2 linked regions of the Lonchura striata genome follow. The protein of the gene in region 1 interacts with the protein of each later gene in a pairwise test. Links are inferred from orthologs where the notes say so. Each region holds a gene or a part of one and is shown in the gene's direction. Other genes may lie near its edges.

Evidence for each region. The genes of interacting proteins can lie anywhere in the genome.
Region 2: the proteins of COIL (region 1) and PDLIM5 interact in binary tests that used the Homo sapiens proteins (3 or more experiments, as listed by UniProt). The two-hybrid records come from large-scale screens. The link is inferred for Lonchura striata from reciprocal best matches to the Homo sapiens genes COIL and PDLIM5.

What each region holds. Positions count from the first base shown.
Region 1 is NC_134621.1:7,704,905-7,712,082, reverse strand, and holds the start of COIL (coilin), read left to right. Parts: upstream 1-4,164; 5' UTR 4,165-4,192; coding exon 4,193-4,440; intron 4,441-6,064; coding exon 6,065-7,178. Other genes in the region: SCPEP1 (retinoid-inducible serine carboxypeptidase), read right to left, coding at 389-461, 666-740, 1,204-1,359, 2,054-2,143, 3,009-3,154, 4,042-4,093. UniProt on the Homo sapiens protein: Component of nuclear coiled bodies, also known as Cajal bodies or CBs, which are involved in the modification and assembly of nucleoplasmic snRNPs.
Region 2 is NC_134606.1:51,585,240-51,592,964, reverse strand, and holds the start of PDLIM5 (PDZ and LIM domain protein 5), read left to right. Parts: upstream 1-4,704; 5' UTR 4,705-4,831; intron 4,832-6,716; exon of another isoform or gene 6,717-6,946; intron 6,947-7,632; 5' UTR 7,633-7,672; coding exon 7,673-7,725. UniProt on the Homo sapiens protein: May play an important role in the heart development by scaffolding PKC to the Z-disk region. May play a role in the regulation of cardiomyocyte expansion. Isoforms lacking the LIM domains may negatively modulate the scaffolding activity of isoform 1.

The sequences.
Region 1 (7,178 bases):
TTGCTTTTTATCCTCACCAGACACAAATCTCACTTGCAGCCTCATGAATGGCTTGGTGGCCACATTTCAGCCAAAAACACCTCAGAGGCTGTGGAGATGTGTAGGAACATTTTACCATCCCCTCCACTTCAGATGCAAGTGTGTTCCTCGCTGACCTTCCTCTCTGACTTTTCCTAATCTAGATACATTCTAAAGAGAGATTCATCAGTCACAAGAAGACTTGCAAGGCTGTAGTATTTATTTTTGATTTACCAGACTCACTAGAGAGTTAATTCACTTAAGGCAGGGATGGCCTTTTTGACTTCAGGTACTCATGGAATGATTACAACACCCAACAAAACAAAATAACAACAACAAATCATCCACAGTCTGAGGAGTTTAAACATACCCAAAGGTGAAATCCACGAGTCTCCAAGAGCAGCGCCCATAAAATTGCACTTTATGGTCCCTTTTTGAACAGCCTTTGTGAATAAGAGGAAAACCAAAACAAAACACCAATAATTAAATTTTAGTTATTCGTGACTCTAGAAACAGTTCTCATTAAGTGAAAAAAGTAAGTAGCACTGTGAATTAGGCAATAGGGACAGTGTATTCCAGAAAATAAAAGTACCTGTAGAACCCCCTGTTTTGAAGTGAAAAGTGAACTTTATTCTTCAAGTACTTACATTGTGCAGCTCTAAAGCAACCCCAGCAGCCATTTTACCTCCATAAGATTCAGAAAATATGTAGAATGGGATGGTCTGGGGAGAGAAAAACCACACAAGGAACTTGTTGTGCGGAGGGCAGAAGATGCCTCCAATCATCTCCCAGATCCCATAGGACCCAGGCACTGGCTGTTCACCTCTCATCCTCAAACATTTAATGTTTTTCTTATTTTAAGCTGCACATTAGGTTTCCATAACATCCTGGTGATTTGCTGGGGTTGGTTCTGAAGCATTTTGGAACTATAAGCAGCTGTGATCCTGTATATGCTGCTCGGATAACTCAACAGACAGAACTCCACCCCAATGCTTATCTAACTAAACCCCAAAATCAAGATACAACTTCTGAAATGTGGAAAATAAGAGACAGTGGTTATATTTGCACCACACACTACCTAGCAGCAAAACACTGTTCATTTGGAAGTCTGTTCCCTAATTCTTTTTGAATTATATTTAAAAGCAGAGAAAAATACAACAATAAACAAGATTTCAATTCACTTACCTGGAATTCTGTTCTACCCTTGAAGAATTCTCCAAGAAAAACCATCATATCAGAAACTACTGCGGTAAGGTTTTGGGCAAACAAGCTACAATCATCCACATAACTGAATCCAGTGCCCACAGGATTATCCACAAACAAGATACTGGCTGCCTGCAACTGCAGAAGCAGAAAAGTTTGTATAAAACCTCAGTTCAGCACCAGCAAAAATCTTAGTTTTGATGGCACAAATGATTAACTGAGCCAGCAAATCCCTGGACCTGAAAAGACTTGCAGAAAAATTAGGTGCAACATAAAGGCCTTCAATTTGCCCAATCTGTAATGAGAAATACAGCCAAAAAAACTCCCAGTGATCCAGGGGCAGGTCACCTAGGGGAACTCCGAGTACTTCAGTCTATTGGTAACTCAGGGCACAGATATATTGCTCTAATTAAACTTCCACCTTCACAGGCAGCTGTCATTTGTTCTCCCTTGAAGGCCATACTGGACCTGTAATTATAAGCCATAGGTTTTACGCTGCCAGCCACCCAGAAAAAACTCTGTGACTGCACACAATGGAGCTGTGATTTGAAAGAACACTTTCTACAATTTCCCTGCTCTGTTTCCCATTTCACAGTTCCATGGAAGACCAGACATACTTTATCAAATCAAATTAATGTCTACCCCTCAGTTTTGAACAAGGCTATTCCTATCAGCTAACTTATTAACCACAATACTTTAACTTGAAATATTATAGTTCTACTGAACTTTAAATGAAAAACTGTTCCGTGCTTTTTTTGTGTAGTCATCATCTGCTCACACAAGCAAACAAACATTTGTAATTAGTAGTTAGAAGCTGAACTCTCTACTGTACCCAGGTTGTATTTCTTGGTTTCATTTCTTTGTCTAATGGACCAATCTCTTCAAAGTTCCCATATCCACAGCCTGAAGCTCCTGGACCTCCCTGCAGGGAAATATCAAATGACACAGATGTTAAAAGGCAGCATGGCACAGATATGACAGATGGAAGAAAAATACAAGACAGCCAGTAAGTAGAATGACAGATTGTAAATTTTTAGAAATGGTTTTTGCAGTACACATTAATTTGTAGAGCAGGATCTGTTCCTCATGGTCTTGGGCTATGCACACACATGCCATTTCTGAAAGCAAGAATTCAACAGAGAAGCAGTCACCCACTTGTGAGAGCTTCTGGTGAGCTGCCTGCTATTTGAGCACAGTTTCAAAACCTTATTCCCTGAATATGGAGTGCAAAAGCTAACTGCTAACTGGGACTTTGCAAGTCATTAGCTTAATCAGCATGTACAGCCTTTGGGTTTCACTCTGATGAAACAATCCAGAGAGAGTAAGAACAAGTCCTCAAGCGATTCTATTCAACATTAACTTCTGCAATGTACTGTAGAGAACACACCACCATTTTTATCAAACTGGGATTGTTTCCATTTAGAAATCATCCTCAATCTCTGGTTATTTTATTTCTCTCTCTGAATATTGTTTAGACTACAAACTCTTCAGGAAAGGAGCTGTGAAATTACAATGCACAAAAATCACTACTGTTGTATGAAAGATAAGAACAACTTCTGTTATTGCAATCAAACTTGATGGAAGGTGAGCAGTTGAGGACATCCCACAACTGCAGAATGAAACCACTCTCATTTTTCCCAACCCGAATACCTCATTCACAAGGCAAGGCATTTAGAACTAGGCAGTTTTGAATCCTGTTTCTGTAGAGCTGCACAATATCAGATATCAGACTGAACCAGGCACAGATGGAAAGAATTATTGCTTTGGTGTCTCTCGCCAAACCTTACCTGAAGCCACAAAACAAGAGGTAACTCTGTGAAGTCTTTGGTTGGGTTATTTGCATAGTAGAGCCACCAGAACATGTGGGCCTTGCTCCGAACATCCACATATCCCCACACCTCTTTGGGTTCTTGGGGCTGCCTCAGAACTACGCCTTGAGGGGAAACAATAACAATCAGCTAAGTAAAAAGGCTCAGCTTTGGACTTTCCACCAGAATCGTTCCAAAACATTACATTTCAATCTTGAGTGTGATAATTAGAAACGTTACTACTATTAAAGAAAATTATTATAAGAAATCTGCCTATACTTACACCCACACCCGAGTTATTGTCATGAAGTGTGTAATTAAGAGAGCTGCCGCCAGAATAACAGCCAAATCGCTGGAATGATTTGTTCTTGATGTGTTTTCAAGGCCTGGGCTGAAGGCACAGCCCCAGTGAAATAACTCCCATAACCAGCTGCAATTTCGATAAGTATCACAGAATATTCTGAGCTGAAAGGGACCAAAAAAACTGAGTCCAACCGTTTCGTGAACGGGCCGGGCGGGGATCGAACCCGGAGCCTTAGAGTTACTGGCCCCATGACCCGACAACCGAACTCATCCCAGCACTTGGATGTGCGGGGACCGCACCGCTTCACAGCCCCCAAGGAGAGCAGATGCAGGCAGACAGAGGGTCACTTCTAAAGGAATCCAAAACAGAATTTCAGTCGGTAAAGTCTGGTCACCTTACGCAGTCAGTCTACTGCCCATCTCGGGCACGGAACAGACCTTTGACACTCCATCACTTAATCTCAATGATCAGGGCAAAAGGCAACAGCGCAATGGAGCAGGAGCAGTAGGGCTTTTCCAAGCCAAGGAGGCTTTGCTGCTCCCGCCGGGACTGCCACTACCCTCTCCGTCCCGCCCGGCCGCCACCCCGGCAAGCGGAATTTCGCGCGGTTCATCCCGGGCCCTGCCCGGCAGCGGCTGCGGGACACAGGAGCGCTTTGCTCGGAGCCCCGTGCCCAGAGGCCCCGCTCCCGTCCCGCCCGGCCCGTACCTGCCGCCAGCAGCAGCACGTACAGCGCGGTCCCGGCCCGCAGCGGCCCCATCGCTCCCGCAGCTCCCGCGGTCACGGGACCGGCCCGCCCGCCCTGCGGCCCCGCCCCGCCCCGCCCCGCCTCTTCCTCCTCCTCCTCCTCCATCTCACGATGGCGGCCGGCGGCGGCCCGCTGCGGCTGCGGCTGGTGTTCGACCACCCTCCGCCGGCCAGCCCGGGCTGCGCGCTGTGCTGGCTGCTGCTGGAGCCGGGCCAGGCGCGGCTCGTCACGGACCTGCTCAGCCTCATCCGCCATCGCTTCGGCTTCAGCCGCCGCGCCCGCCTCAGCCTCTTCCTCGAGGGGGCGCTGCTGCCGCCCGCCGAGAGCGCGCGCCTCGTGCGGGACAACGACTCGCTGAGGTGCGGACCGGACCGGACCGGGACAGGGACCGGGACCGGGACAGGGACCGGGACAGGGATGGGGACCGGGACAGGGACAGGGATGGGGACAGGGACCGGGACAGGGACCGGGACAGGGACCGGGACAGGGATGGGGACCGGGACAGGGACAGGGATGGGGACAGGGACCGGGACAGGGACCGGGACCGGGACCGGGACAGGGACCGGGACAGGGACAGGGACAGGGACAGGGACAGGGACCGGGACCGGGACAGGGACCGGGACAGGGACAGGGACAGGGACCGGGACAGGGACCGGGACAGGGACCGGGACCGGGACCGGAACAGGGACAGGGACAGGGACAGGGACCGGGACAGGGACCGGGACCGGGACAGGAACAGGGACAGGGACAGGGACAGGGACCGGGACAGGGACCGGGACAGGGACCGGGACCGGGACCGGAACAGGGACAGGGACAGGGACCGGGACAGGGACCGGGACCGGGACAGGGACCGGGACAGGGACAGGGACAGGGACAGGGACCGGGACAGGGACCGGGACAGGGACAGGGACCGGGACCGGAACAGGGACAGGGACAGGGACCGGAACAGGGACAGGGACAGGGACCGGGACAGGGACCGGGACCGGGACAGGAACAGGGACAGGGACAGGGACCGGGACAGGGACAGGGACAGGGACCGGGACAGGGACCGGACCGGGACAGGGACCGGGACCGGGACAGGGACCGGGACAGGGACCGGAACCTGGACAGGGACCGGGACAGGGACAGGGACAGGGACAGGGACCGGGACAGGGACCGGGACAGGGACCGGGACAGGGACAGGGACAGGGACCGGGACAGGGACCGGGGCTGCGGGATCGGACAGAGAGAGCGGGATAGGGACAGTGGGACCTGTATAGGGATAGCGGGATACGGAGCGGGACAGCGGGGTCGGACAGAGAGCGGGACCGGGACCGGGATCAGGACAGCGGGATCGGCGGTCGGTCCCACTCACACCTCATCAGTGTCTGTCAGCGGTGCCAAGAGGCCGGAGCGGGTTCTGCCCGGTGGTGCGAGCCGTGGGACGAAAGGCAGCGGGCAGGAGCTGATGCCCAGGAAGTTCCACCTGACCGGGAGGAAGAGCTGCTTCCCTGTGCTGGGACAGAGAGGATGTGGAGTTTCCCTCACTGGGGATATTCCAGAGCCCTCTGGACACAGCCCTGTGCTCTGGGATGACTCTGCTTAGGCAGGGAGGTGGGACCAGATGACCCCACTGTGGTCCCTTCCAGCCTGACCCATTCTGGGATTCAGTGAATCTCCACGTGGTTTTGGTGGGACGGGGATGGAACTTCCCCGGGGGTCTGAGCTCTTCCTTCCCTGGGCAGTGGAGTGGGAGCGGGGTGCCCATGGGCACTGACTCCCAGTGCCTGAGACACCTCAGGATGTCCAAAAGGATGGAGGGAGCCGAGCAGTTGGAAATGTTCCTGAAGATGGAAAGGGAGCCTGTGCCTGCAGGGGAGGGTTCTGGACTGTCCAGGGAAGAGCTGGAGCATCTCCACTCTAGGGGAACTTGCCTGAGCTGCTCACGTGTGGGGAAAAGTGTTCATTATGCTGAACGGTGGCTTTTGTTTGTTTTTTTAACAGAGTAAAATTGGAAGAGATAGTTGCAGATGATTATGAAGAGATAGATGATGGCTTTAGTTACACAACAAAAGAAGACAAAAAAAGGCACAGACATAAGGAGGATGAGGAAGAATTGTCTAGGAATGAAGGCAAGCATAAAAGGAAAAAGAAAAAGGAGAAGCGTAAACTTGAGTATTCCTCTTGTAGGGAAGAGACCTCTATAGATACTTGGGACTCTCAGAAAAGGTACACGAAAAGAAAAAGAAAGGAAGAAGTTAGGGGAAGAAATATGCTTGCAGAAGGTAAGGAAGAGAGCTCTACTTCCCATTCTAAAAAGATGAAAAAAACAGAGAGGGAGAAGCAGTTGGCAACAAAAAAGAAGGATGAAAATCAGACAAAGGTTGCTGCAGCAAAGATGTCTTTAGAACAGGCAAATGAGAGTTTTTCTCTAAATTCTGGTAAAAATAGCACCAAAAAGATCACAACACAGTCCAGGAAAAAGAGGGTGGGAGCTTCAGATTCATCCAGCACATCGTCTGACAGTGACAGCAGTGAATTAAATATAAAGGAAAATAAATCTTCCCATAAACCTGTAGTGGTGACACTTCCCAAAGACAAATCCCAAGCTGCTTCAGATTCTCATGTGAAAACTAATAAAGTGACTGTAAAGTCTAACACTGAAAAGACTAAGACTGCAATTAGTAAAAATGCTAAAAAACCCCGGTCTTCTAGTTCAGATTCTGACTCGAGTACAGAGGATGAGACGGTGACACCAGCACAAGACAGCACCGCAAAGGAAAAATCGGTGCCAAACCATGTGGTGGCTGTAAAAGCCAGCACCAAAGCTCCCAAAGCACAGAGCTTCTCTTCAGACTCTGATAGTTCAGATTCAGACACACTTGTCATTAAAAAGTCTGCAGCAGCGTGTGCTGGACTGTGTAATTCCGTAGTAACGAGGTGCATTAAACAGTTGCCAGCCAGAGTCCAAGGACCGTTTGCCTGCCCCAGCCGTGGAAGGGGGCGTGGAACAGGAGAGGATAACTTCTGGAGAGGACCTAGGGGCCGTGGGTTTCGTGGGATGATGAGGGGCCATGGGAGAGGAGCAAACCCTGGCTTCTTCTATAACTACAGCAGT
Region 2 (7,725 bases), on another chromosome or scaffold:
GACGTCTGCTGGGTGTCCAGGCTGAGCAGCAGAACAGACCCTATAAAAAGCCTGTGCTTTAGTGAGTGAGTGGTGCTGGTAGAAATAAAGCAGGGGAGCTGCCTGCTCCCCTGCTGTGCCCCCTGTCCAAACCCCTGTGCCCAGCTGCTCCTGACCTGCCAGGCTCTTGGTGCTGCAGCTGGCAGCCACTCTCTCCCTCGCCAAGGCAATCTTGCACCTCTTCTCCCATAGCATTAATTAATATAAATACCTGCAAGGATCTCTCTGAAAGTTTGGCTGTTTACCTGCCAAACCCTACTTAATTGGGATTTGTGGTGGATCTCAAACATAGCTCAAAGACATCACTCAGCAAACCCTTCCTGCACACCTGAGGGACTGTAATTAAACCACACCAGGCCACAGGTTTCTGCATTAACCATTCCTTGCCATGAAAGAAAAGGAAATCAGGGCAGGCAGCTTGCTTCAATAGGTAAGAACAGGGATAATTGAAGGCATTACTCCCATAACTCTGTCAAAAATGGTAAATACGAAGTTTGATTTTTTTCCCCTCTCGGTTTTTCTTCCCATGTATTGCTCCATTTGAAGAGTAGAAGGGGCATGGTCAGCCTGTGGTAGAGTAATCCAGTGGTTAGTTGTTAGTAGCTGAAAAAGAATTTGGAAGAACTGGTTTCAATTCTTTGACAGTTGATTCCTTGTATGTATAAATGTTTATTGCCTCTGGTGACCATCTGTAAAATGAGGCTAATGCCTCACAGCAGGGCTAAGCATGAAACTGTTTAGGCTGTGATGTTCTGAGAAGCTTCTGATTGATTTCAGTCCCTAAAATGGGCCGTGTTTAATGTGATAAGAAGATAACCTTAAGCTTCTGCAAAGGTTAATTGTGTTTCCTGGAATGAAGAGGTTTAGTTGCTGTTTCATTGGTTTGGACACACAAAGTAGAAATGTTTAACCTGTGGCATGGGCTGTGACATCCACACAGGTGGTCCTTCTTTTACTTGAGGAGGAGGGAACAAAACAGATATTCCTAGCTTAGAACTAGGACTGATCAGGCTCCAATGAGTCTGCTCAGTCACTACAAAGGAGTCCAGTAATAAAATACATTTCCTGTTTATGCAATTTACCAAAATTCTAGAGAGACTGTAAATAAGAAGTATCTTATTAGTAAATATTAATTTCTCTTTACAAATAAAAGCACCAATAAATAAAAACTAAAGGAGGCTTGATTAGCTAAAATAAAAAATAAATCAGGGTATAAAAAATACAAATAAATCCATTTATAACATTAAGAGCTTCAAAGGCTAGAGTGGGAAGACCAACACTGTTAACTTTTCAATCTGATGAAAAACGTGAGTTTAAAAGCTGTCTGGATCGACGAGATGGCGAGCAAACTGCTGTCAGAGAGGACACAGCTACAGCAGAAGTAACACAAGAAAACATGTTCAGTGAGAAAACGGGCTGATGACAAGTGGTGAAGATGGTCAGCACGCCTGGAGGGATAACAGGCTCTAAGAGGTGAGAAAAAAAAGGTGACAAGTCAGAGAAAACTTGACCGTGACGGTTTGTTTTTTTTTTTTTTTTTTGGCTGACAAAACCGTTCCAAGGTGAATTGGTGGGTGTAGCTGCCCATCTGGCTGGATTCTGAACCTCCTGCCAGCGACCCTGCTCAACCACATGGCTCCTCCCGTGCAAAGAAGTCTTTGGGCTGACTGGACTTACTGCGGTAGACAGGATGCACGAGGAAGGATGCAATTCAGCACAGGCTATCTTTCCAAAACAGGGACAGGAAAAAGAAAAACAGAACAAAACAAACAACAAAACCACAAAATACCAAACAAACAGAAAAATAAAAGTTCTTCCGCAATACCAGTTCTAGGTAATTTGGGCTTCACTGTGACCAAAATGTAAGAGCTTGCCCTGTCAAAAGCTGACTGCAGCCCCTGCTTTTCAGAAACACATAGAAATTATCTAATTCCTTGTATTTTTTGGCCACAGAGCTGTCTTGGAACTGCAAATAAGCTGTTATGCTGTAGGGGATATTCACATTTACCTCTTTAGAGAGAGGATTACTTTATGTTGGTGAACACGAGTTATAAACTGAATGTAAATATTTACACTAGCTTTACCTTTGGAAGAAAAGCAAAAGTGAAAGCAGTGCAGTAAAAGCACAGCTTGTAGTTCAATGCTTTAGCACAGAGAAAGGTAATATTACATTAAGTGGTGTTTAATTAAAAACAATTCGACTGTGCATTGTTAATCAGTTCATAATTTATGGGCTACTTTTTAATTTACAAATAGCTTTTTGTACTTCACCACCGCAGGTGATATTCTCTGTCAGTTTTGTAGGGCCCATTACATGGCACCTAAGGCATTTCATTAGCATTTAAACGAGACTTAAGTGCCTGAGTAATTCTGAGATAGGCTGTATCTGCCTGGCTAGCTGACTACTGTATTTAATTAATTTCCAGACGCTTTCCTTCCTTGTTCTGAGGGGAAAATGCAAGCTCTGTCTAAAATCTGGTAGTGGTAGGAAGAACAGGCAGGCCACAGTTCTAGCTGCTGCCAAGGTTTCTTGCTCAATTTACTATCTCTAATTTCGTTATTCATCTTAATGAAAAGCTTTCTCTCAAAGAGGACAATATTTGAAAAGTGACCAAGAATGGAATGATCTTGAGCTAATGTGTTGCCTCTATTTCTGTGCCCTGTGTCTGGAGGCAAAGGAAAACAGATTCATTTGTTACAAACTGAAGTGAATCTTCGCCACAGCGAAGTGATGACGGACTTAAAGATGAGTCTGCCAGCTTTGAGCTGGGAGTGGCACTGACCTTGCTGCAATGGAGCAGATTGCATGCAGGCTTGCCGGGGCTGAAACCTGCTGCAACACCAACCAGCAAAAGTCTCTCTGCACGTTCTTCTTCGGTCATGATGAATTAATGTAATAGTGTCTTGAAGTGCTGCACATGCAAGCTACTTCTCCAACAGGAAAAGCTGAAGGCTTTGAGAGAACTGAAGTGGAAAAGGATGTTTTTCACTAACATGGCAAAGTGCAAAATCAAGCAGGACACAGGCTGTGTGCCCTGGTGAGCTGAGAGCAGATTGCTACCCAGGCAGTCAGCACAGGGACATGCTGACACTGGAGGTATCACATGAGTCACACCGGGACGTGGGGTCCTGCAGCTTTTTCTACTCTAATTAATAGAACAGCTTGAGAGTGACCTACAGCCCTTGTGACACAATGAAAAATCCCTGTGTTGGGTAATTTTTACCTCCATGAATTAAAATCATGTGAGAGTCTATTTGCGTAACAGGGATTTTTAGTTTTGCCCAACTGGAGAGACTTAATAGAAAAAGAGCAGACTAAGGAAGGAAAATTTCTGAAACAGTGGTTTGGCTGCAGTAGTGGGAGGTTTAGATGCTTTTCTTTTGAGATGCTGTTTGAGGTGCGTTTGTCCTACTTAAAGACACACAGCTCAGTGGGACACTGTTAAAATACCCTTGTTAAGGTTTGCTGAGCCAGGGCTCAGAGGATTAGACAGGCCCTGGTTTCATGCACACCCAAGCACCTAGAGCACAGGTCTTCTAACCCAGCATCAGCTCCAGTCTGAGGGCTCCTGGTTGGGGTAGCCTGTGGGAGCAATGGGCAGAGTAGGGCCAAAATCACACTCAAGGCTGTGCAAATAACAATAAAACTAAGGGACAGTGCCCTAGGCCAGAGGGGTGAGGCAGGGCTGTCTATTATGAGGACTGTGTGTTGTGTTGGATGGTAATAAGAATTTAAAGCTTTCTTCTGCATTCTTTCTCCACAGTTTGAGGAGGGTGCTGAAATCGTTTGAATCGTACTGACAATGATACTGTTAACTAGATGCACATTTCTTTCACAGACATTTTTACTTGTAATGACTTCTTGTCGCACATGAAGTTTGGCAGGAACCTCAAGCCTCCCCAAGCTGTGAGGTGCAGCTGGATGTGACTCCCAAGTGCCACTGTTTCATCTTTGCCCTATACCTGCCTCTCCCAAGGCAGCGGCAGTGGCTGGCGCTGGCTGGCGCTGGCAGTGCTGTCCCAGCCAGCCTGCCCCGCTCCATGGATTCCCAGCTGGATACTCCTCGTGTTAAAGAATCAGTCCTGTAACAATCTGATCAAGCATCACCTTAGAACCTGGTTCGTTTAATGGATGCACTCCTCCAGTGAGGCTGTGCCAGAGACCTTAATTTCTGGCGGATCCCTTCCAATTTCGGAGCTGAACTTATGCATGGCTACTCCACACCTGTTTGTTCTTGTGCCAGCCTTCTGTCAGCCTCAACAGCTCTTCTGCCTCGCCGCCGTTCCCGCACTTTGATGTCCTCGGGGGAGGGGGTACATCCCTGTCATTTCTCACGCTACTCCACATTAAATCAGCCAAACTCCCTCTTTTCGTAGGCTGTCCTGCTCCGCTTCAGGCTGCCCCCGCAGCCTGCCCCCATCCCTGCCCGGCACCGCAGCTCTTCCCTCAGGGCGGGCACAGGGGAGCGGCCCCTTCCCGCTTCCCTCGCGCTTCTCAGGTGCGCCCGCAGCTGCGTGTGCGTAAAGCAAAGCGGGGCCAACGTGAGCGCTCCCCTGCTAAAAACAAACCAAAACAAATCAAACAGCACAGCAAACCTGCGCACCGCGCGGCCTTCCCGGCCTCTGCCCCGCTCCGCAGCCCCGTCCCGCCGCGGCCGGGCAGGGCTGGGCCGGGCCGGGCCAGGGGAGGAGCGGCGGGAGACGGAAGTGAAAACAAGAGCGGGGGCTGGAGCCGCCGCCTCGCAGACGCGCTGCGCTGTCCTCGCCTCTCCGCGCTGAGCCGCGCCGCCGGGTGAGTGCCGCGGCGGCCAAAGCGAACAGAAAAATAACCAGGGGGGGAATCAGGCTAAGAGTCAGTAGGCTGGGCGCGGTTTGTAAAGCTCCGCGGTGCTTGTTTTCGTTTCATTTAACTTCTGTAAGCAGGACGCGCAACTTGCCGCGGTGGCCGAGCGCCCGGCCGGGGTGCCGAGGTGCGGCGGGGGCGCGGCCCGGGGCAGGAGGGCAGGCAGCTCCCGCCCGGGCTGCGGGACACCTGCGGGGCTCCTCGCCCCCAGCCGTGCCCGTAGGGCTGCTTGGACACAGGCTCCGGTGCGTCCCGCTCCCCGGGCTTTGTGGCACCCGCGGGGCTGCACGCCGGGCGCCCCTGGAGCGGCTGGAGCCGAGACCGAGCGCTCCTGCGGGGAGTTGTGGTCCCCAGGCTGCGCTGGCCGTGGGGCTCCTCGCCCCGGGGAGGTGGGCAGAGCGGGGTGCGGGGCGTACGGGGGCGGGAGGGCTCCTCTGGGCGCTGCGGGCCGACGGCTCAGCGCCCTGGCGGCGGCGGTGCGGGCCGCCGTTCCGGCCGGGAATTTGAAATTCCCCCTTCCAGACTCAGGTCCACTAAGCGTTTGATCGTCTAAAGGAAAGTTGCACATTTTCACCCTTAGCTGGTTTGTTTGCACAACGTTTGTTTGTTTGCTCCGCACGTGAATTTCATGGTTCGCGGTGTTTTGCTTTAGCTATTGCCTTGCCATATTATGACATTTGTTAAATAAAATTTGGAGCGAGTCTTCTTTGTTTGCCGTTACTTCCTGGTGTATCTGTCAGGCTAGAGATGCAGATATACCAGAATTAAAGGGATGAGAAAGATGAGTGATGCCGAGTGTGATGCACGGTAATTCAGAGTGCAGTTTCTTCCCTCCTATTTCCAGTTGCTACAAATGAAAAAGAATGGTATCAATTCCTAACAGAATCCATTATTTTTCCTGGGTCTGTAGCAGTAACTAGTTGATGCTCAACTTCAATAAATAAAAAAAAAATCTACACAGGTGCTTTAGCTTTCAATTGCCAAGTAAAGCCTGCTCACCTGTGTGAAACAACTGCACTGTATGCTGGTCAGTAGATGTGGCTTGCTTTTCTGCAGTTTTATATTTTAGAGTGACCTGTCACTGCAGTGGATTTCTTTTAGCGGGAGTGAACAGAATGTGTATTTTTATGCAGGAAGAAATCTGTGACCAATTCAGATCCTCTTTTTAAAAGAACTCTGTGCGTAGGACAATTTAACAGCTTAGTTCTCGTTGTAGTGGTGAGGAAGCCTCTTAAGAATCCTAGCTCAAGCTTGGCGGGGACTTTTCTTCCTCTTTAGCGACAGGAGAGCTCAATATTGTGTGCATCCCCTGTTGTTCATTGATGCTTGTCGAGGTTTTTAAGGGTGGGTTGAGTCAGCGCCTGGGGTCAGAGCTGCCCGTTTGCTGGATGCTAGCAGGCAGTGGTGGGTTGGGAATGGCCCAGTTACGCAGGCATCTCTGGTACAAGCTCCAAATTCTGCTTCCTAATACATACATATTTATATCTTGTGCTGCCTGATGCCAGTAGCCCTGCTCTGGTTACCTGAGTGGCCGTCGGTGTGAATAAAGCTCACTGTGTGATTTAGGAAAAAAGTGTGAGCAGTGGATCTCTGCTGCTTTGGGAGGTGAACCCAAAAACGTGCGTTGTGGATGACTTTTTTGGGGGGTGACATCTTTGCATCGATGGGGGTTGTGCGACAACCCTGCTCTCATGTTCCCTCATGTTCCTCGGGGGTGGGCTGCATTTGGAAAAATCCTCCGCCTCTGAGAAACTAACGTGGCGCCCTGCAGCGTGCGAACAGCCAAAACTGGGCTTTTCAGAGTTCCGTGGGGTTTGCAGCCGCCTGCTGCTGCTTGCCTGAAGGTCCACCTTAAATGTCCCTATATGAGTATGGAATCTGGCTGTGCCCCGGTGTAGTCTTACACCAGCCTGCCCTGGTGTGCTCCTGCCGGGCTTCAACTACACAAAAATAGACGGCATCCACTACCTAAGATGTCATTGTAACATTACTTATCTAAGGTGGAACTGAAGCCCTTATCTTTGACGCTGAGCAGCGCTTAAATATCTCTGTTGCCTTTTAAAGGTAATTTGTCGGATACATTTTTGGAGAGGGAGATGCGTGGGTTTTGCTTCCTCAGCATTGAATTATAACTGTGGATGTTTTGCTTTAGTTCACAGCTTTCATTTTTAGGGTTGGTTTTAATATCGGACTCATCTGTGATATTGTTCTGCCACTACGAAGCTATGCTGTAAAAATAAAAAACGTCACAGGGATTTTATTTTCGTCTGATTAACTGCAAAGTTGTGATGCTTTTGGCGTTGTTGTATTTAGAAATAAGCTTTGAGCTGATGACAGGGCAGCATATGATACTAATTTTGTTAGAAATGAATGTGCTAGTAGTGCTAATGTCTTCCATACTTCAGTTTAAGGGATGCTATCAATTCATGCTTGTCTCAATATTGACTTATTTTAAGCTGGTCTTTCATGCTGGATGGTTTTACCACCGCTGCCCCACATGGTGTTTTGCTAGTAAAAAGCAGTTGTCAAATATTTTGGCGGCAGCAGTTCTCCAGATTCTGTTTCTTCCTAAGCTATGGAGGGAAACAACATATAGGGAATAAAAGCACAAGTCATGACAGACCTGGTGTGGGGTTTTTGGCTGTTTTGGGGGGAGGGGAATATAGCCAAAGAAAGAATGTTTCCAAAATTGCGGACAGTGCCTTTTGTTTTTATCACCTTTAAATTAAAACTCTAATCCTCTTCTGCAGGCATCAGTTCTTTGGATTTGGTCCTTGAATACTAAACATCATGAGCAACTACAGCGTGTCTTTGGTCGGGCCGGCTCCCTGGGGTTTCAGGCT